Linked DNA regions of Drosophila melanogaster. The gene in region 2 interacts genetically with the main gene of each other region. Each region holds a gene or a part of one and is shown on either strand. Other genes may lie near its edges.

Evidence for each region.
Region 1: of asl (region 2) and Cep97, changing one suppresses a phenotype caused by changing the other (phenotypic suppression), as found in Drosophila melanogaster (one study listed by BioGRID).
Region 3: of asl (region 2) and asp, changing one enhances a phenotype caused by changing the other (phenotypic enhancement), as found in Drosophila melanogaster (one study listed by BioGRID).

Annotation. Positions count from the first base shown.
Region 1 is NT_033779.5:3,865,663-3,871,960, reverse strand, and holds Cep97 (centrosomal protein 97kDa), read right to left. Parts: upstream 4,265-6,298; 5' UTR 3,980-4,264; coding exon 3,973-3,979; intron 3,582-3,972; coding exon 3,421-3,581; intron 3,358-3,420; coding exon 2,900-3,357; intron 2,844-2,899; coding exon 2,485-2,843; intron 2,419-2,484; coding exon 2,158-2,418; intron 2,089-2,157; coding exon 1,912-2,088; intron 1,872-1,911; exon of another isoform or gene 1,837-1,871; coding exon 1,407-1,836; intron 1,340-1,406; coding exon 772-1,339; 3' UTR 536-771; downstream 1-535. Other genes in the region: CG31957 (uncharacterized protein), read left to right, coding at 92-408; TTLL4B (tubulin tyrosine ligase-like 4B), read right to left, coding at 4,737-4,892, 4,975-5,983, 6,044-6,214, 6,277-6,298.
Region 2 is NT_033777.3:5,602,736-5,608,404, forward strand, and holds asl (asterless), read right to left. Parts: upstream 3,809-5,669; 5' UTR 3,712-3,808; coding exon 3,595-3,711; intron 3,539-3,594; coding exon 1,706-3,538; intron 1,641-1,705; coding exon 606-1,640; 3' UTR 501-605; downstream 1-500. Other genes in the region: SecS (Sec synthetase), read left to right, coding at 1-195, 255-430; Rga (regena), read right to left, coding at 4,638-4,857, 4,949-5,113, 5,218-5,422.
Region 3 is NT_033777.3:24,752,191-24,759,962, forward strand, and holds the start of asp (abnormal spindle), read left to right. Parts: upstream 1-1,658; 5' UTR 1,659-1,850; coding exon 1,851-1,865; intron 1,866-1,937; coding exon 1,938-2,114; intron 2,115-2,166; coding exon 2,167-2,379; intron 2,380-2,458; coding exon 2,459-7,340; intron 7,341-7,400; coding exon 7,401-7,702; intron 7,703-7,766; coding exon 7,767-7,772. Other genes in the region: tld (tolloid), read left to right, coding at 1-227, 284-1,230. UniProt on the Drosophila melanogaster protein: Required to maintain the structure of the centrosomal microtubule organizing center (MTOC) during mitosis. May have a preferential role in regulating neurogenesis. Required for germ cell mitosis and oocyte differentiation.

The DNA.
Region 1 (6,298 bases), on a different chromosome or scaffold from region 2:
ACGTCTCGATAAAGACATGTTGAGATAGCCCATCCCAACTCATTTCATGTTGATACTTAATAATGAATTTGTATCCTTCTGACCCTTTTAGTTTCGATGCCCAACAAATTCCGCAAGAGCATGTGGGTGAAACGTGGCGACTTTCTGCTGGTCGAACCGATTGAGGAGGGCGATAAAGTCAAAGCCGAGATTTGCAAAATACTCACACCCGAACATATAAAGGAATACACAAAAGCTGCAATTTGGCCGGATAAATTCACAAAGAAACCTGTACAGGAGGAAGCCACCAGCCAAAACAAAGACGACTCCGATTTCGAGGATGATCTCCTGCCCAATACAAATCGGCCTGTAAATCGCGATTCCTCCGACGAAGAGGAAGATGAGGAAACATCCAGCGAAGAGGACTGAACGATGTACAAACACACACATAGTTAGGTTATTTACAAATTTGTCAAACTTAATTAAAAAAAAACTGTTGGTTAATGCTGGTGTTGTTTTTGAACAAAATCTGCCCGCAATCAAGAACACCTTTTGTGCTTTACAAAAATTTGTATTTACGATTTGTTCATACTATTGTTAAGTCTTCCACCATCGCTGCATCTCAGGAATGTAACAAAGTAATGTGTTTGTGAATGCTGGTGCTACTTCTAAGTTCTCGTAACCGATCTAATATTGTTGCAAAAGCTACACAAAAGCCTAAGAAAGGAATTAATAAGCGCTGAGATCGACCCTTAAAGCGTTTATACTCCTCATTTATTAACTGGGATTTGTTCATGGATCTTTATCAAGATTTTCCGAGTCTTCTTGGGTCTCCTTCAGGTCGACATCATTCAATTCATCGATTTTGGGACAAGCCAGAGCAGCTTCGTGCTTGGATTCTAGGGCCAAGGTTGAGGGCCTTGTTTTGGTGAATGGAAAATTGGTGAGGTCCTCTATTTGCGGCGTGTGTACGGCAATGAGGTCCGTCTGAGTGGAGCTGCAATCAATGATCTCGGCCTGCTTCTTAATAGCGTCCTGCGGCAGATTGCACACCATTGTGAGGCAGTTGACGATGGTTCCAATCGAGCTTTGCAGCATTTGAACCTGATCGGTGAGCATGGTGCATCTTTTCGCCAAATCATTTACCACGGCGGCTGAATTTTGATCGAGACTCAGGTGGCCAGACCCTCCGCCATTGGAGTCCTCGCCCTGTTCCGCAGCAGCAGGTATTCCCTTGGGATCCACCTCCATGGTGGACACCTTTTTCCACAGCGCATTGATGGCCTGCATCTGCAGCTGCTGAATCTTTCGCTCGTTCTCGAGCTGGGCCTTCGTAAGTAGCATATCCTTGCCGAGTTGTCTGAGGAATGCGACAGATAGAGCATTAGAAAGTTGCGATATATGTTGCCTAAAACGAGACCACCTACTCGATATACTCCTGTGTGCGTCGTCGCTGCAATCGCTCGGCTATGTCCTTGTTGGTCTTCTTGCGTGTGTGATAGCCTCGCCACATCTTTTGGATGGTAACGGCCGAGGACTCTGTCACGTGCTCGATCAGCCGATCCTGGCAGTTCAGGTTGTTGTCCACCTGCTGCTTCAGCTGCTCCTGATGCATCTGCTGTTGCTTCTGAGCGGCCATCTTCCGGATTGCTCTCAGTTTCTCTATGTTGATTTGCTCGCCGTCGTCGTCGGTGCTGAAGCCACCGCTATCGGCCAAAACAGCCGATTGCTGGAGTTTCTCCGGTGCCTGCATGTTGTCCGCGCTGCACTTATTGGCCATCCTCCGTGGACTGCTCGTAGGGCTTTGGTTCCTCTTCAGTTGTGGACTTCGCACTCTTGGCAAGTTCAGTTTGTTGTCTGTAGTGTAAATGTGTATGTATGTTTTAGAAATCTGTGTCGTTTTAAAAGTCTAGAGTAACAACTACTGGCTACCTTTATTTTTGTTGATCTTGGTCTTGTGCAGCTGAGGGTTCAGTGCCGTAACCGTAACTCTTTGGGCCACAGCGGCGGGACAGACATCCGGGCTCATCAGAGTCTCCGGAACTGGGACCATTTTCGAGGCAGCCGCCAATGGACCACCAGATGGGGTTTGACTGATGAACGTTTGATCTGTGGAATTGTTGTTTACTATTAACATCATTTTCCACTCTTGCATTGAATATATTTTAATTGTCATACCATTGTAGGGATTGGGTGTTATATTCCGTGGCGTGGACTCCGTGGAATTGTATGTCTTGGTGGTCACGCTGCTGGACATTCCGCTGCCGGCCAAACTAAAGCCTTCGCCATCGTTTTTAATGTTCTCAATGAGCGAAATGCTCATTTGCAGCGAATGATTCGTAGATCCATTGTCGCTAACAATGCTATTGTTGCTGCTGTTCCCGTGATAGCTATTCACCATGGACTCCGGTGATCCCTGGCGGCCACTCAAGCGGGAGACTTTAAATCGAAGACAGAAAAATATAAGTTATATGAAAAAGCATAGATAGGGAGTTAATAACTTACATCTGGGCGACTGAATGCGACTCGTGGGCTTCTTGCGATGGGATGAGGGCGAAGTGCTGGCAGAACTATTTGCGTTATCCATGATCTCTTCCTGCAGCTGCCGCTGATGGTGTTGCGCCTTGCTGAGGATCAGCCGGAGTTTCCTATCGTTTTCATTTTCCAGCGCCTTGCCCACCAGCGGGCACACAGAACTTAGGTATTTTGCCAAGCCCTGCTGCTCGCCCACACGGAACTGGCGACCACGTCCCTGGCTATACAGCCATTCGGCCTTAAGACTCTCAATAGGATCGACCACAAAGCCATCGATGTACTTGAGGCTCATGCACCAGTTTAAAACAAAAGGTCGGTAATCAAAGCCACTGCAAGAGATGTTACATTTTAAGCGCAATCCATATGATCCATTAAGCTAACTCACTCCAAACTGTTGATCATGGTCACACAGGGATTATCCGCAATGGAAATGCTCAGCAAGTTGCTCAGATGCGACAGCGTACAGATCTCGTTGAGATCGTTGATGCTATTCTTGGCCAACGTTAGGGTTTCCAGTGAGGTGGGCAAACACTTGTCGCACTGCCTCAGATGCGTCAAGCGATTTCCGTGCAAATATAGCTCCTTGAGATTGCGCAAATAGGACATATCCGAAATGCTGCCAATGCTATTATCCGCCAGATTCAGGCACTCCAGATTGACATTCGTGTTCAGATGCTCGATGGTCTTGATGTTATTCCCCTCCAGATTCAGAACGCGCAGATGGATGCATTCCTTCAGGCCCTCGATAGAGAGTATGCCATTGAAGGACAGATTCAGTTCACGCAGGCAATGCAGCCGGCAGACGCCATACATGCGCAGCAATTGATTTCTGGCCAAGGAGAGCTGAAATATTTGAATTTCTGTTAATTAGGAACTTGTTTCTTTTCGCAGAACGTTGCAAGTCACCGTTTCAATTTTGAGATACGAGTCTATGTTGTCGATCTTCTGCAGCTCGTTCTCGTCCAGGATGAGCTGCCGTATGCTGTGCGCATCGTCCTGCTTGGGCACCTTCTTCAGCTTTTGCTTGGACAAGTTCAGGACGTGCTTCTCCTCGCCACTTTCGTCGCCTGTTTGGGTTAACAAAGCACAGTGGGTAGAAACTAAGGTTTACCACTTCATACTTATTATGCATTAAACACAATATCAGAATTATGTAAAACAAAAAGCCCAAAAAGGAAATACATAATGCAAGCTTCACTGTATACGTGTGCATGTTACAAAATTGATGACTTCATCGAGGGGTCCGCACTTTTCAAGAAGTTGGAGAGGAGGTCAGGGCGCAGGTGCGTCCTTTTTAGCCAGGACCTCGAAGCCCCCGGCCCGCTGAACATTAACCCCAACTCCCCAAAAGCAGACTGCAAATTCCCATACAGTCAGCACGCAAATCCCAATCCCCGCAAATCATATTATTAGTTACTAATATATAGTGCCCATTCTTGCATAGAACTGGCTTCTTACCACTCATTTTTCTGATTGGCAGGCCGAAATTCCAACGCTGCGGTCAATTTTTTTTTAATCAGCAGATACTTAGCGAAAAATCAATGGGCCACTCTTTTTTCCACGCAGTTTCAGATTGGCAATTTCCCAAGTGTGCAGCTCAGCTGTTCCACTTGCAGTCCTTTGGTTTCAAGCCGGGTTTATAATTCAGTCCACGCCATGATTTGCAAACTTAATTTTTATTTTAGCGCCGTGCAATACAGTGAATTTTTGTTTATTGTTATTATACTACGTCTATCGATAATTGGAGGCGTGATGTCGTTATCGGCAGCTTGAAAACTCAAGACTGCGCCGCTAGTTATCGATTGCACTTCCTTAGACTTATCGCAACTGCCAAAGCCCGCGTAGTTCAAAAAGCTTAGTACTGTGCTGAGCAATTACCCAATAAGAAAACCGATACTCTTTACAGTTTACAGTGTTCGCATAAAGAATAAATAATAAGAACTAAATTTAAATAAAATATTTATTTTCATAATTTTTTTAAACACCCCGTAGTGTTTTATATTTACTGAAATGACGTGTGATCCAATTTCTAGCTGGATGCCAAAACAGGCTATTGCCACCAAAGACGATCGAAGTTAAGTGAATTTACTGAGCGGATACAATTCCGGAGCACATCTGCACGGGATGCTGGCACAGCTGTGAGCTGGTAACGGAAACGGGAATGGAAATGGCAATGGCAATGGAAGAAGCAATGGTGATAGTGCTGATAGTTCGGTTCAATTTCAGGACTTGATCTCGATGCAGGCATCCGGAATCGGCGCCACCTCGCAGCCCTCCTGGACAACGGGCTTAAGTATGGCCAGCGTGGTGGCACCGTCCAAGACCTCATCCTTTCGCACGTGCAGCATATCGATCTCGGTAAGTGCAACATTTGGTTCCTAGATAAGAAATATGACTTGAAAATGGACTACAGAAGCGGTACGGAAGGGGAAATTCAATTGAATTGAATTGATCGTTCACCTTTTCCATGGCGGCGTCCGACACCTGTAAATGGTATTTGTCCCGGCAATAGCGCGACAGCAAGGCAATGCCCATTTCCCTATTCTTGGCGTACTTCGTCTCCCAGGCGTCCAGCAGGCGATTATAGTACCGGGCATTCTCGACATAGCGCAGATATACATGTGTGCCGGCGGTGGGGAAGATCCGTTCCAGCGGCTGACACCTGGCCAGCTCGTCCTCGGCAACGATCAGGCAACGGACATCGTCCGGCAGTAGATTGTCCAGTATGGTATCAACGTACTCCTCCCGGAATTCGATGCTCCGATTGGTGTACTGGTTATGTTTGCGGACCTCCTCTGCAGTCAGGCAGGTGGTGAAGATGCGTTTGTCATGGCACAACGGACCGGTCAGATTAAGCTCCTCCAGGATGTCCGCCTGCTGACGTTCGTTCAGCTTAGGCGGCACCTGATATAGAGCCGTATTCAGCACGGCCTGAATGAGCGGACCCTTCACGTGCAGATCCAGTGGCAATTCCGAATGCAACGACGGCGATATATTTATCTCCAACAGCCAGGGCACTAGATTCTCATCCAGGAGCACATCGAAGCCAAACAACTCGAAGCAATTGTAGCGAAAGTTCACATTCTGGCGGTACATGCGATTCAATCCCGATTCCCCGCTCACGATGCCCTTGATGACCAGATTCCGTAGCGTGGCCCACAGGCGCTTAGTGTTCACGCCACGATTCTCCAGGCAGGACCACAGCGATTGAAGCGTCCACTTGTGGCCCTGGCAGGCATTGAAATCCTCGTTCTTCGCATAGTTCTGCGAGAACTTGTTGATGCTGTAGTTGGTCAGGTGCATGCAGCGCTCGTCCAGATTGCTCAGCTCCGAGCTGTACTTAACGGACGCGAAACGCGCCAGTCCATCCTTGTACATATAGATGCGGAGTGGGTTGATCGAGGTCAGTACCACATACAGACGCATATCGAACTTATTGTCGTTGATCAACAGCGGACGTTCAATGTATCTGAAGTGGGGTTTAGGGTTAGGGAAGATTTTTAAAGAAGACGAAGTTATGGGCACCCACTTCTGAACCACCAGAGGACGATCTTTGGGAAATTGGCTCCACTTGTTCACAATGCGTATGCCCGTGCCTCGGGCACTCGCCGGCGGCTTAACAATCCACTTGGTCAGCTTCGAGGCATTTTTGGGCCACACCTGACGCAGGCTCTCCAGATCGTCTGGCATAATGTAGGATCTGTTAAAGAAGATATCGAGTAAAATAATAGAAATTCAAAGTTATATTTTCGCAGTGCTCACTTTTGCATAAAGCCAAACTCCT
Region 2 (5,669 bases):
CAGAGCCACGCGGAGAGATTGTTATAGACAGCAGGTTTAACTCCATATCCTTGGCCATAACATTGGCCACTTTGGCTGGGGATCAGATGAAGAGCATCACCAAGCTTGGCTCCATGCTACACATGCGTGGAGTTTCCGGAGCAAGAGTGATAGTTCCTGGCCAAAATAAAACTATAGACGGGCATGAGTTTCTAGGCAAGTAATATTCACTATCGTCTTTGTTTTCCGACTAAAATTTAGAATATTTCGCTTAGATTTCGGCTCCCACCGCAGCAACCTGCAAGTTCCGTACCTGACTGTAGCGGCAGGAATTGGAATAACCCGAGAGGAGATTGACAAATTCTTCGACATTTTCAACAAGTGCTGGAACCAGATTTTTCAAACTAAAAATGAAAAAATTATGAGCCTACTAGAAACAACAATCAAATAAAAAACCTATTTTTTAATATTAATGATAAACTTTCACTTTTTTAGCTGATTTTTATAAGCACAATTTTGTTAGGAATGTACAGCGACTTTTATTTGTTTAGACAATTTGGCAGTGCATGCAGTAACGATATCCCACTAAAGAGACCTACATATACATATATATATTTTCCTAAGTCTTAGCTGTGACCATTGCCTTTGGGCTTTCTATTTGAGTTGGTGATTGGGTCGCTGCTGCTATTGCTGGGCACGTTCTCTTTGTCGCGGTGCTTCTCCCGACTCCGCCGCTCCAGGTGCTGGTTCATGGTCGCCTCGATCTTGGCGAGTGATAGCTCGTACTCGTGCTTAATGCGCTCATACTCGCGTTTCATGTGCGCCTCCTTGTCCTCGGCATACAACTTGTAATTGTGGGCGGTACGCTTGGCACTTTGATATCGCTGCTGTGCGGATCGCATCGCCTCTTCGTGGGTGGAACGCAAGCTTTCCAGCTGCTGGCGCCAGTGGTGTTCCACCTGGTCGACTGACTGGCGCTGTTTCTCCCACTGAGCCATCACAGCCTTCATAGATTGCCTTTCGGAGTCGATGCTGGCGTGCTGCTCCTCCACTTCTCGGAGCAGTTCGGCAATTCGCTGGTTCTTCGCTTGCAGCTCCTGGCGGCACTTCTGCAGCATTTCCTTTTGCTTTTCTTCCCTGCCGGCCAGAATTTCATCGATATTCTCGCGTTCTGCCAGGATAGTTTGCTTTAGAAGATCCACCTCCGTTTGCCGCTGTTGCAGCTCTGCACACACCGTTTGGTATTCCCTTTGGAGGCACTGGCTCCTCTCCTCAGATTTTTGCAGCCGGTTAGTAAACCTCTTGAGTTCTGCTGCAAAAAGTTTGGCCATCTCATCACGAACACGTTGTTCGATCAACCTTATCCGATTCTGGGTGAGCTCTTTGGGCGATGGATCAGACGGGGAAACTGAGTTTGATTTCGGACTGGGCGTACACTTATTCTGCTGCTTATGCTCCTCTTGCTGCCTAATGTACGCCTCGAATTGCTTGGCCCTCTCCTTAAGATCGCTAATGAGCTCGTCCTGCTTGTTTGAAAGCTCGATCTTTTCCTGCATCTCGGCTTGCAAATTTTTAGACTGCTCCAGCGCGTGTTCCAATTCTTTCAGTTCCTTGGCCTGCATTGAGTTCACATTCTGGAGTTTCAACAACTGAATTTCCGCCTAAAAACCGTGGTGATATATAAGATTATTTAGTTTACTAGCATGTCTGAAAGGTTATCGCTTACCTTGGTAATTTCTGCTATGCTTTCAATGCACTTGCTGCAGTTTTCGGAACTTTCTTTGGCCACCGCAACTGCTTCTTCGCGCTTTTCCCGCTCGCTCCTTTGGCGCAAGGCCTGCAGATCACGTTCGTGGCTGAGTTTCTCCGTTTCCAGAAGCTTTTTTAGCTCCTCTGATTTCATCTCCGCCAGCTGCAAGTTTCGCTGAACAGTGGCCAAGTTTTGGCGTTGATCCTGCAACTCCTTAAGCGTGTCCGATTCTCTCAGCTTTCTCAATTCATAGCCTAATGACTCTTTGTCTGTGGCGATGTCAGAATAGAGTTTCTTAAGCCGCTCGACCTCGCTCTGGGAATCCCTCAACAGAATCTTGTGGCGTTCCAGCTCCAAGCGCAGGTTGTCTGCAGTTTCTCGAGTTCGCAACTGCCGATTTTCCTGCGAAAGCTGATCGTAATTTCTTTGAAGGCTCTCGTTCTGCTGCTTTAGTTGCTCCAGATCTTCTTCAATCTGCTGCCGTTTTTCCCTTAGTGCATCCCTCTCGGCCACAATGGAATTCAGCTGTGAGTGCACATCTGACTCCTGCTGTGATCTGTGTTTTTGCTCTTCCAACTCCTGCTGCATTGCCTTCACTTTGTTTTCCAACCGCATTTTGCCTTCGTTTAGGGTTTCCAGCTGAACCAGGGATTGGTTCTCCTGGTCGCGCAGCACGCGCAGTTCCTGGTTGCGTTCCTCCAGGAGCTTCTCTAGGCGTCGCACTTCTTCCCGCTTGTTCTTCAGGTTGCCCAGAGCTCGATACAACTCCTGCTTAATGTGACCGACTCTGTCTAGAGGATTCAGCGGTGTGCTACCAACAAGGCGCGATCCACCCATTTGACTTAGCCGACTAGTAGGCGATTCGTCCGCCTGATGCTGTTGAATAACCGAATCTATCAGGTCAAGTTCCGTGGTGGTTTCGTTTAGGCGCTCATGGAGCGAAGCGACTGTTTGCTCCAAATAGGCAATGCGGGCTTTCAAGTCAACGATGCACTGTTGCTGCCGACGATTTTCAGCCTGCAAATCGGGTCTTGCACTTAGTTGGTTGCAGCGCATTTGGGCCTCATCCAAAGCTTGACTGAGCTCGTTAATCTTGGCAGCCTTATCTACGAGCATTGTTTCGTGACCAGACTGCAGAGCATTGTAGCGCGAGTTTATCTGATCCAACTCATTTTGCTTGCGATCAAGCTGATCCTTCATCTGACAGAGTTGCTGCTGCAAAAGATCGGACTGGGCTCGGTGCGCTTCCTCCATTTGCTTTAAACGTAGGTCGGCGTTCCGCTCCTCCCACTTCTGCTTACTGGCCTGCACCATGTCGTATTTGCTTTGGACGTCCGTAAGCAAGGTCTTGGCGGCCTCTAATTGACCAACTAATCGCGTGTTATCTTCTTCCAACTGCTTCTTTTCCGACCGCAGCTTGTCCAGATCGCTGTCCTTATTGGAGCACGTCTCTTTGGTCTCCACCAACAGCTCGTGAGTGTTCTGCTTCTCGCGAATGGCGCGGTCTAGCTCAGCCTGCATGATGGATAGGTGCTTTTGTAAGTCATCCAGTTTTTTGTGCGCAGCGTTGGCCACCTGGTTGACATTCTGCAGCTCATTATTCTTAGACTCCAGCAGGATCTGGAGGCGATGCATCTCGATCTCGTTGGCTCGCTGAGCATCGTCCTGCAGCGGTTTATGGTGCGGATGTGATGGGTAGTTGGGTAGAACTGGCGGCTGTTCCAGTTCCGACTGGTAATTCGTCGTCGAGTCGATTGTGTTCTCTTCATCGAGCAGATCGTCGAAGGCATTCACCATAATCCGTCCAAGCTTGCGTAGAATTGGAATCGGTGACATTGTTTACCAGGAATTCCCAGATCGCTTACCTCTTCCTCGCGTCGTTTCTGATCCTGCAGCGCCTCTTCCTCCTCCTGCCGGTCCAGTGTAGAATTTATGTTAAGGGCATCCGCCCCCTGAAAGAGGCTTATACCTGGCGTGTTCATATTCGGCTAAGGGGACGCCACAAGCATCAAATTCAAATAAATTCCGAGGCGCAGGCGCTATTTTCGTAGGCAACTCTAATTTTCTTCCTCTTGCTTCTGTTGACACTTTGACATTAACATAGTAACGCGTGCTGTTAAGTGCAGTAAGCGCTTCTGTAGCGAAAACATTGCGTTCACACTACATACAGTCTAGAAGGGAATTAGGTTTTTATTCTATACTTGTACATAAACTGTAATTGTTAAATTTAAAAATAAATATTTTCCCAAAAAGTTGCCGATATGTCGAAAAGATTGTGGCCCCGACAATAGACCTGCCAGGCATACACAAGCTTGAAGATGATATTGTATGTATGTATTATCATGCCAACTATGGTTCCGTCGTATCATTGATAGGGGGAGCTGTTGTGCATTGCAGAATGCAGTAGATTTGCTATTGGAATATACATACATATGTATGTCGTGTTAGTCCAGATGACAGGTATGTATTTTCAGACACGGCCAGTAATTTTTTATAGGATCACTTTATAGAAAGAATTTCTTCTACCTTTCAAATACATTTCAACGAATCGAAAAAATATAACTTGCTTTTTAATTTAATGGGAGTCCGCTCATTTCATAATATCGAACAGCTAAAAAATGTTACATTTCAAAGATATTCTAAAAATATGAATACCAACTAGACTCCAGCAGGATAAAAATAAATCGCTTTAAATTGTTAACCGGCAATTTGTACCAGAATTTGCACATACATACATATGCATATATGTATGTATATATATCCTAACACCGTTTTAGAAGAAAAACTCAAATGGATTGTTTTTAATTTTTATAATAAAACTTATTATTCAGTTAGTGTTGAGTGTCCTTGTTGCAATGCAAAAACAACAGCATACTTTCTTTTTCAATTTTTTTCATTTTTATTAATTTTATACAGACTGTCCATTCATAAACGCACTTATATTGGGACATTTATCTAATTTCTCGGGATCTATTTGGAAAACCTTGGACAAACGTTTCCAACTTTGCGCATCAAAGTAGTAGAAGGTGCCGCGCTCTTTTGTACCATTTTTTTCATATTGATCAATGCCAGGAATTCGAGTTATCCATATTTTCTCCTCCACGTGGTATCGCCACTCGCGACTATGCCTGCGATGGGAGCAGAATTTTAGTATATATGTATGTTCTATATATGTTCATACGAAGCTTAGATAATAGCTACGCAAGAGGAAGTACTCACAATTCAGCAGCTGCCATCAATTGCATCATATCGCCGATGTTCGTGTAAAAAAGGAAAAAGAGCAGGTCTTCTTGCAGCTTTTTCAGTACCGGCGCTGTTAGTTTGTCTCTTATCGCAAAGTTAATCAGATATTCGGGTGGCACGTTGAACTCAACGTCTTGTGCTCTGAAAAAAGTAAATGCAAATCCAATGTTACTAATTTGGTACACCTCTTACTCAATAGTACTCAATAAGCAATTAAATTATGTAAGTTTATTATGTAAACTGACCTGCAGGGCTGTGCTACGAAGGGGCCAGCGAAGGTTGTATGCAAGCTCTCCTGCGAGTTCAGGTTCAGGCCTAAACCCGTGAGATCCGTACCCAAGGAGAGCGTCACCAGATTGGGATCCGTTTCTGCAGCCCGAATGAACGTCAGCAGGCCAACCATGCCGAACTGGTTGTTCACCATGGTCGCTGGTATGTTTGTGACCTTCCCTATTTATGCAAAACGAACGAAAGGTAAATTTGTTACATTTTTAAATAAATAAAATATTTCATGGTACTATTATTTCTGGATAAAATGGGTCAAGGATAGTATAGCTGTTGGGCTTTTGTGATGTACACCGAAATCACCGAATTATAATATGAAACAAATAATAATAGAAACCAAGAAATCCATTGATTAAATGGTATCAATCATCCATAGAGTGTTCAATTCAAAGCTCCAAATGATCAAAAGGTC
Region 3 (7,772 bases), about 19 Mb from region 2:
CTTTTCCCACTTTGATTTGGAGGGCACACGGTTTCACTACACCAAGTGCAACTATGATTACCTGATTATATACTCCAAAATGAGGGATAATCGCCTGAAGAAGATTGGCATTTATTGTGGTCATGAACTACCTCCAGTGGTGAATTCCGAGCAGAGTATCCTCAGGCTGGAGTTCTACTCGGATCGCACTGTCCAGAGAAGTGGATTTGTGGCCAAGTTTGTAATAGGTAACTTACAGAAAAAAATTAATTTACGTACGATCTATAATATCATTATTCCACAGATGTGGATGAGTGTTCAATGAACAATGGTGGCTGTCAGCACCGATGCCGAAACACCTTTGGATCCTATCAGTGCAGCTGCCGCAATGGATACACATTGGCTGAAAATGGACACAACTGCACGGAGACGCGTTGCAAGTTCGAGATCACCACGTCGTATGGAGTGTTGCAGAGTCCCAACTATCCGGAGGATTATCCAAGAAACATTTACTGCTACTGGCATTTTCAGACCGTACTGGGCCACCGGATACAGTTGACATTCCACGACTTTGAGGTGGAGAGCCACCAGGAGTGCATCTACGACTATGTGGCTATCTATGATGGTCGCTCCGAAAATAGCTCAACATTGGGCATCTATTGCGGTGGACGTGAACCGTATGCCGTTATTGCCTCCACCAATGAGATGTTTATGGTACTGGCCACGGATGCGGGTCTTCAGAGAAAGGGTTTCAAGGCCACCTTTGTCTCCGAATGTGGTGGCTACTTGAGGGCCACAAATCATTCACAGACCTTCTACTCGCATCCACGATACGGCAGTAGGCCGTACAAGCGGAACATGTACTGCGATTGGCGCATTCAGGCAGACCCGGAAAGCAGTGTCAAGATCCGTTTCCTACACTTCGAGATCGAGTACTCGGAGCGATGCGACTACGATTATCTGGAGATCACCGAGGAGGGCTACTCAATGAACACTATCCACGGCAGATTTTGCGGAAAGCACAAGCCGCCAATCATAATCTCCAACTCGGACACCCTTCTGTTGCGATTCCAAACGGACGAGAGTAACTCATTGAGAGGCTTCGCCATCTCCTTCATGGCCGTGGATCCACCGGAAGATTCTGTTGGCGAGGATTTCGACGCGGTTACACCCTTTCCGGGCTATCTCAAGAGCATGTATTCCTCAGAAACGGGCAGCGACCACCTCCTGCCACCCAGCAGACTCATTTAGATAAAATGAGAGGTCCAGCGAAGGGATTTAGAGTTTAATGTTTGTTGTTGAAATTTGTAAATAGATTGTGAATAAAAGATATTTCGAGTCATTTTGTTTACCCTATATTTTATTTTTAAAGGCACATAATATTTATATCTGTGATAATACACATTTGAATTTGGCGCTATAAAACTGTGCAACGTTCACACTGAGGATATCGATTGGTGGTGTTAACACATCTGGGTTACTCACAATTTATGTAAAATTACACAAAATAATATTCCTTAGAATGATCTTATCATATTAAATAATTTATGTTTAAAAATTGCGGACAAATGTAATCCTTATATTTTTAAGTCTATCGAAAACCATTCTGAAGACCCCTAACATTTCACAATCGATAGGTCGAATTGTTCGATAGCCCTTTGCTCCAGCAATCAAGCAATCGAGTATCGGCGTCGCTTCGTTTCGAATTTCAGTTCGAATTTGGATTTGTGCGGCGACGCTCTAATTTGTTTAATTTTTGTTCGTTAATTGTGTTAATTGATTAGTTAGTCGCTGTGTTAATGGACCACTAAGTTAGCTGCGAGCCCGTTTCTGTTTAGTTCAAGTTATTTCTGTTTTGGCCATTCCCTGCAATGAGCGCCTTTGAGGTTAGTTGAGTCCTCTTTTTGGAACTCCGGCAATAATTTTCCGAGAAATAACTAGATTACCGGTACTTACAGATCACAGTGACGCCATCGCGCCTAAAGCAAAAGAAGCGCGCCGAAGGACGCGAGCCCGCCGTCGTCGTCATGGCTCCGTTCTCCGCCAAGGCGATTGTGCAGTTCGAGGATGTGCCGATAACAAAGACAGCACGGCGCCAGGTGCGCGTTCTCAATCCCAGCGACGACGACATCGAGGTTAGTGGGTTGCATACGGCCTGGCAACTGTTATTTGATCAATGTTTTACAGGTCAAGGTAATGAAGGCCATCCGGGAGGAGCACAACTTAAGCCTGGAGTGGATGGAGCACACGGTGCCTGCAAGAGATGAGGTATCCATGGAGCTAGTGTGGAGCCCCGTCCTTGAGGTGGCCTGCAAGGAGACGCTGCAGCTAATAGACAACCGCAACTTCCGAAAGGAGGTGATGATCATACTCAAGTCCAAGAGCAACCAGCCGGTCAAGGTCAGTCAAAAAATGCATTTGCCACCCCTTTTACTTACATACCCTCTTTTGCATGTATCTCTTACCTTTCTACCTGAAGAACCCGCGCAAATTTCCTACTGTCGGCAAGACCCTGCAGCTGAAATCGCCGACAGGAGCTGGCAAGACAATGAAAAGCGTGGTATCCGCTGCTGTGCAGCAAAAGAAGCGCATGTCTGCAGCAGCAGCGCCTCCCTCCAAGCAGACATGGCGAGTGACTGCTCCTTCGCGTCCCGCTGCATGGGCACATCCACCTCCACAGGCTCCTCTTGTCGAGAAGAATGTATACAAGACTCCACAAGAAGAGCCCGTATACATATCACCACAGCCTCGCAGTCTTAAGGAAAATCTAAGCCCTATGACGCCAGGAAACCTACTCGACGTGATTGACAATCTGCGATTCACACCTCTCACCGAAACCCGTGGCAAAGGACAAGCTACCATTTTCCCGGACAATCTGGCAGCCTGGCCCACACCAACACTTAAAGGGAATGTAAAATCATGTGCTAATGATATGCGGCCGCGTCGAATCACTCCAGATGATCTAGAAGATCAGCCTGCCACAAACAAAACGTTCGATGTAAAGCATTCCGAGACTATCAATATTTCGTTGGACACCTTGGACTGCTCCAGGATCGATGGACAACCGCATACGCCCCTAAATAAGACAACAACCATTGTGCATGCCACGCACACCAGAGCTCTGGCCTGTATTCATGAGGAGGAGGGACCAAGTCCACCTAGGACGCCCACGAAGAGCGCCATACACGACCTGAAGAGGGACATTAAGTTGGTGGGTTCACCCTTACGAAAGTATTCCGAGTCCATGAAAGATTTGTCACTTCTATCGCCACAAACTAAGTATGCCATTCAAGGGTCTATGCCTAATCTAAATGAAATGAAAATCCGCTCGATCGAACAGAATAGATATTACCAGGAGCAGCAGATCCAGATAAAGGCCAAAGACTTGAATAGCTCCTCTAGTAGCGAGGCTAGTTTGGCCGGCCAGCAGGAGTTTCTATTCAACCACAGTGAGATCCTCGCTCAGTCCAGTCGTTTTAATCTCCATGAAGTAGGTCGGAAGTCGGTGAAGGGAAGTCCGGTGAAGAATCCTCACAAGCGCCGCTCTCATGAGTTGAGTTTTTCGGATGCACCTAGCAACGAATCATTGTACCGCAATGAAACTGTAGCCATTTCCCCTCCTAAAAAGCAACGGGTTGAGGACACTACTCTGCCCAGAAGTGCAGCGCCGGCAAATGCATCTGCAAGAAGCAGTAGTGCCCACGCCTGGCCACACGCCCAATCCAAGAAGTTTAAGCTAGCACAAACCATGTCACTGATGAAGAAGCCCGCCACACCACGAAAAGTCAGGGACACTAGCATTCAGCCTTCCGTCAAGCTCTATGACTCGGAGCTGTATATGCAGACGTGCATCAACCCGGATCCATTTGCAGCAACTACGACAATTGATCCATTTCTGGCATCTACCATGTATTTGGATGAACAGGCTGTGGATCGTCATCAAGCTGACTTTAAAAAGTGGTTAAATGCCCTTGTCTCCATACCCGCTGACCTGGACGCAGATTTAAATAACAAAATAGACGTTGGTAAGCTGTTTAACGAGGTGCGCAACAAAGAGCTCGTGGTGGCTCCCACCAAGGAGGAGCAGTCTATGAACTACCTAACGAAATACCGCCTGGAGACGCTTCGTAAGGCGGCTGTGGAGCTCTTCTTCAGTGAGCAGATGCGCCTGCCATGCTCCAAAGTGGCCGTATATGTCAACAAGCAAGCTCTGCGCATCCGTAGCGATCGTAATCTTCACCTAGACGTAGTTATGCAACGCACCATACTTGAGCTGCTGCTTTGCTTCAATCCCCTTTGGCTGCGCCTTGGACTGGAAGTGGTCTTTGGCGAGAAGATCCAGATGCAGTCTAATCGAGACATTGTAGGCCTCAGCACCTTTATCCTCAATCGCTTGTTCCGGAATAAGTGTGAGGAGCAGAGGTACAGCAAGGCATACACACTCACCGAAGAGTACGCGGAGACCATTAAGAAGCACTCATTGCAGAAAATCCTCTTTTTGCTGCTTTTCCTCGATCAAGCTAAGCAGAAGCGCATCGTCAAGCACAATCCCTGTTTGTTTGTTAAAAAGTCGCCACATAAAGAGACCAAGGATATTCTGCTGCGCTTCTCGTCGGAGCTGCTCGCCAACATTGGTGATATTACGCGGGAACTTCGTCGCCTGGGCTACGTTCTACAGCACCGCCAAACATTTTTGGACGAGTTCGATTATGCCTTCAACAACTTGGCTGTGGACCTAAGAGATGGCGTGAGACTAACCCGAGTCATGGAGGTAATTTTACTACGCGATGATCTAACCCGCCAGTTAAGGGTGCCAGCCATCTCTCGCCTTCAGCGGATCTTCAATGTAAAGCTAGCTCTGGGCGCACTTGGTGAAGCCAACTTCCAGCTAGGCGGCGACATCGCCGCCCAAGACATCGTTGACGGACATCGTGAGAAGACGCTTTCCCTGCTCTGGCAACTTATTTACAAATTCCGCTCGCCCAAGTTTCATGCGGCGGCCACGGTGCTCCAGAAATGGTGGCGCCGTCACTGGCTGCACGTTGTTATCCAGCGTCGCATTCGCCACAAAGAGCTTATGCGTCGCCACCGGGCCGCTACTGTCATTCAGGCCGTGTTCCGTGGCCACCAGATGAGAAAGTACGTGAAGTTGTTTAAGACGGAACGCACTCAGGCCGCAATAATTCTGCAAAAGTTCACCCGTCGGTATTTGGCCCAGAAGCAGCTATATCAGAGCTATCACAGTATTATCACCATCCAGCGCTGGTGGCGAGCCCAACAACTGGGAAGGCAGCACCGCCAGCGGTTTGTGGAGCTCCGAGAGGCTGCGATCTTTCTTCAGCGGATCTGGCGGCGACGACTCTTTGCCAAAAAACTATTGGCGGCGGCGGAAACAGCCAGACTTCAGCGATCGCAAAAACAACAGGCAGCTGCTAGTTATATTCAAATGCAATGGCGAAGCTATCAGCTGGGCAGAATTCAGCGACAGCAGTTCCTGCGCCAGAGGGACCTCATCATGTTTGTTCAGCGCAGGATGCGAAGCAAGTGGAGTATGCTGGAGCAGCGCAAGGAGTTCCAGCAACTAAAGCGTGCAGCTATAAATATCCAACAACGCTGGCGAGCGAAGCTTTCAATGAGAAAGTGCAACGCTGATTATTTGGCACTTCGTTCCAGCGTTCTTAAAGTTCAGGCTTACAGGAAAGCCACAATCCAGATGAGAATAGATCGTAATCACTACTATTCCCTGCGAAAAAATGTTATCTGCCTGCAACAGCGACTGAGGGCCATCATGAAAATGCGCGAACAGAGGGAAAATTATCTGAGGCTGCGAAATGCTTCAATACTAGTTCAAAAACGCTACCGCATGCGTCAACAAATGATCCAGGATAGAAATGCATATTTAAGAACCCGCAAATGTATCATCAATGTCCAGAGGCGCTGGAGAGCCACTCTGCAGATGCGTCGAGAAAGGAAGAACTACCTTCATCTCCAAACGACAACCAAACGAATTCAAATCAAGTTCCGTGCCAAGCGCGAAATGAAAAAGCAAAGAGCCGAGTTTCTTCAGCTGAAAAAGGTTACCCTTGTAGTCCAGAAACGTCGGCGGGCTTTGCTGCAGATGCGAAAGGAGCGCCAGGAGTACCTACATCTGCGCGAGGTTACCATAAAGCTGCAGCGCAGATTCCATGCTCAAAAATCAATGCGGTTCATGCGAGCCAAGTACCGCGGCACCCAGGCTGCTGTGAGCTGCCTGCAGATGCATTGGCGTAATCATCTCCTTAGGAAACGGGAGAGGAACAGTTTCTTACAACTGCGTCAAGCAGCAATAACACTGCAGCGACGGTACCGAGCTCGTCTGAATATGATCAAGCAGTTGAAGAGTTACGCCCAGCTGAAACAGGCAGCTATTACCATTCAAACCCGATATAGAGCCAAGAAGGCAATGCAAAAGCAGGTGGTCTTGTACCAAAAGCAAAGGGAAGCCATTATCAAAGTGCAACGACGATACCGCGGCAATCTGGAGATGAGGAAGCAGATTGAAGTCTACCAAAAACAGCGCCAGGCAGTCATCCGCTTGCAGAAATGGTGGCGCAGTATACGCGACATGCGGCTGTGCAAAGCGGGCTACCGAAGGATTCGACTCAGTTCATTGAGCATTCAACGCAAGTGGCGGGCCACAGTGCAGGCTCGTCGCCAACGGGAGATCTTCTTAAGCACCATCCGCAAAGTGCGACTTATGCAGGCATTTATCAGAGCAACTTTACTGATGCGTCAGCAGCGCAGGGAATTCGAGATGAAGCGAAGGGCTGCCGTAGTGATCCAGCGCCGGTTTCGTGCTCGCTGTGCTATGCTAAAGGCGAGACAGGATTACCAATTAATCCAATCCTCTGTGATCCTGGTGCAGCGCAAATTCCGTGCTAATCGCAGCATGAAGCAGGCACGCCAGGAATTTGTCCAGCTGCGTACTATTGCAGTCCATTTGCAACAAAAGTTCCGTGGCAAGCGTCTAATGATTGAGCAGCGTAATTGTTTCCAACTGCTCCGCTGTTCCATGCCGGGCTTCCAGGCACGTGCCCGCGGCTTTATGGCTCGCAAACGATTCCAGGCCCTGATGACACCCGAGATGATGGACCTCATCCGCCAGAAGCGCGCCGCCAAGGTTATACAGCGTTACTGGCGGGGCTATCTAATCCGACGACGTCAGAAGCACCAGGGTCTCTTGGATATCCGGAAGCGTATTGCTCAGCTGCGGCAAGAGGCAAAGGCGGTAAACTCTGTGCGCTGCAAAGTCCAGGAGGCGGTGCGTTTCCTTCGCGGACGCTTTATCGCATCAGATGCGTTAGCAGTGCTAAGTCGATTGGGTAAGTGATCCAGCTACGTTAGTCCTTATTATAACTAATCCTGCTTAATAATCCCGGCAGATCGTCTTTCGCGCACTGTGCCACACCTGCTCATGTGGTGTTCGGAGTTCATGTCCACGTTTTGCTATGGCATCATGGCTCAGGCCATTCGATCAGAGGTGGATAAGCAGCTTATAGAGCGCTGCAGCCGGATCATCCTAAATTTGGCCCGCTACAATAGCACCACGGTGAACACGTTCCAGGAGGGCGGTTTGGTCACCATTGCCCAGATGTTATTGCGCTGGTGCGACAAAGACAGTGAGATATTCAACACTTTGTGCACCCTCATTTGGGTATTCGCCCACTGTCCTAAAAAGCGAAAGGTAGCTAAATAGCGAGAGGATTAGGTTTTAGCGAGTTTTTAATCATATTCTTAATGCCTTCCAGATCATT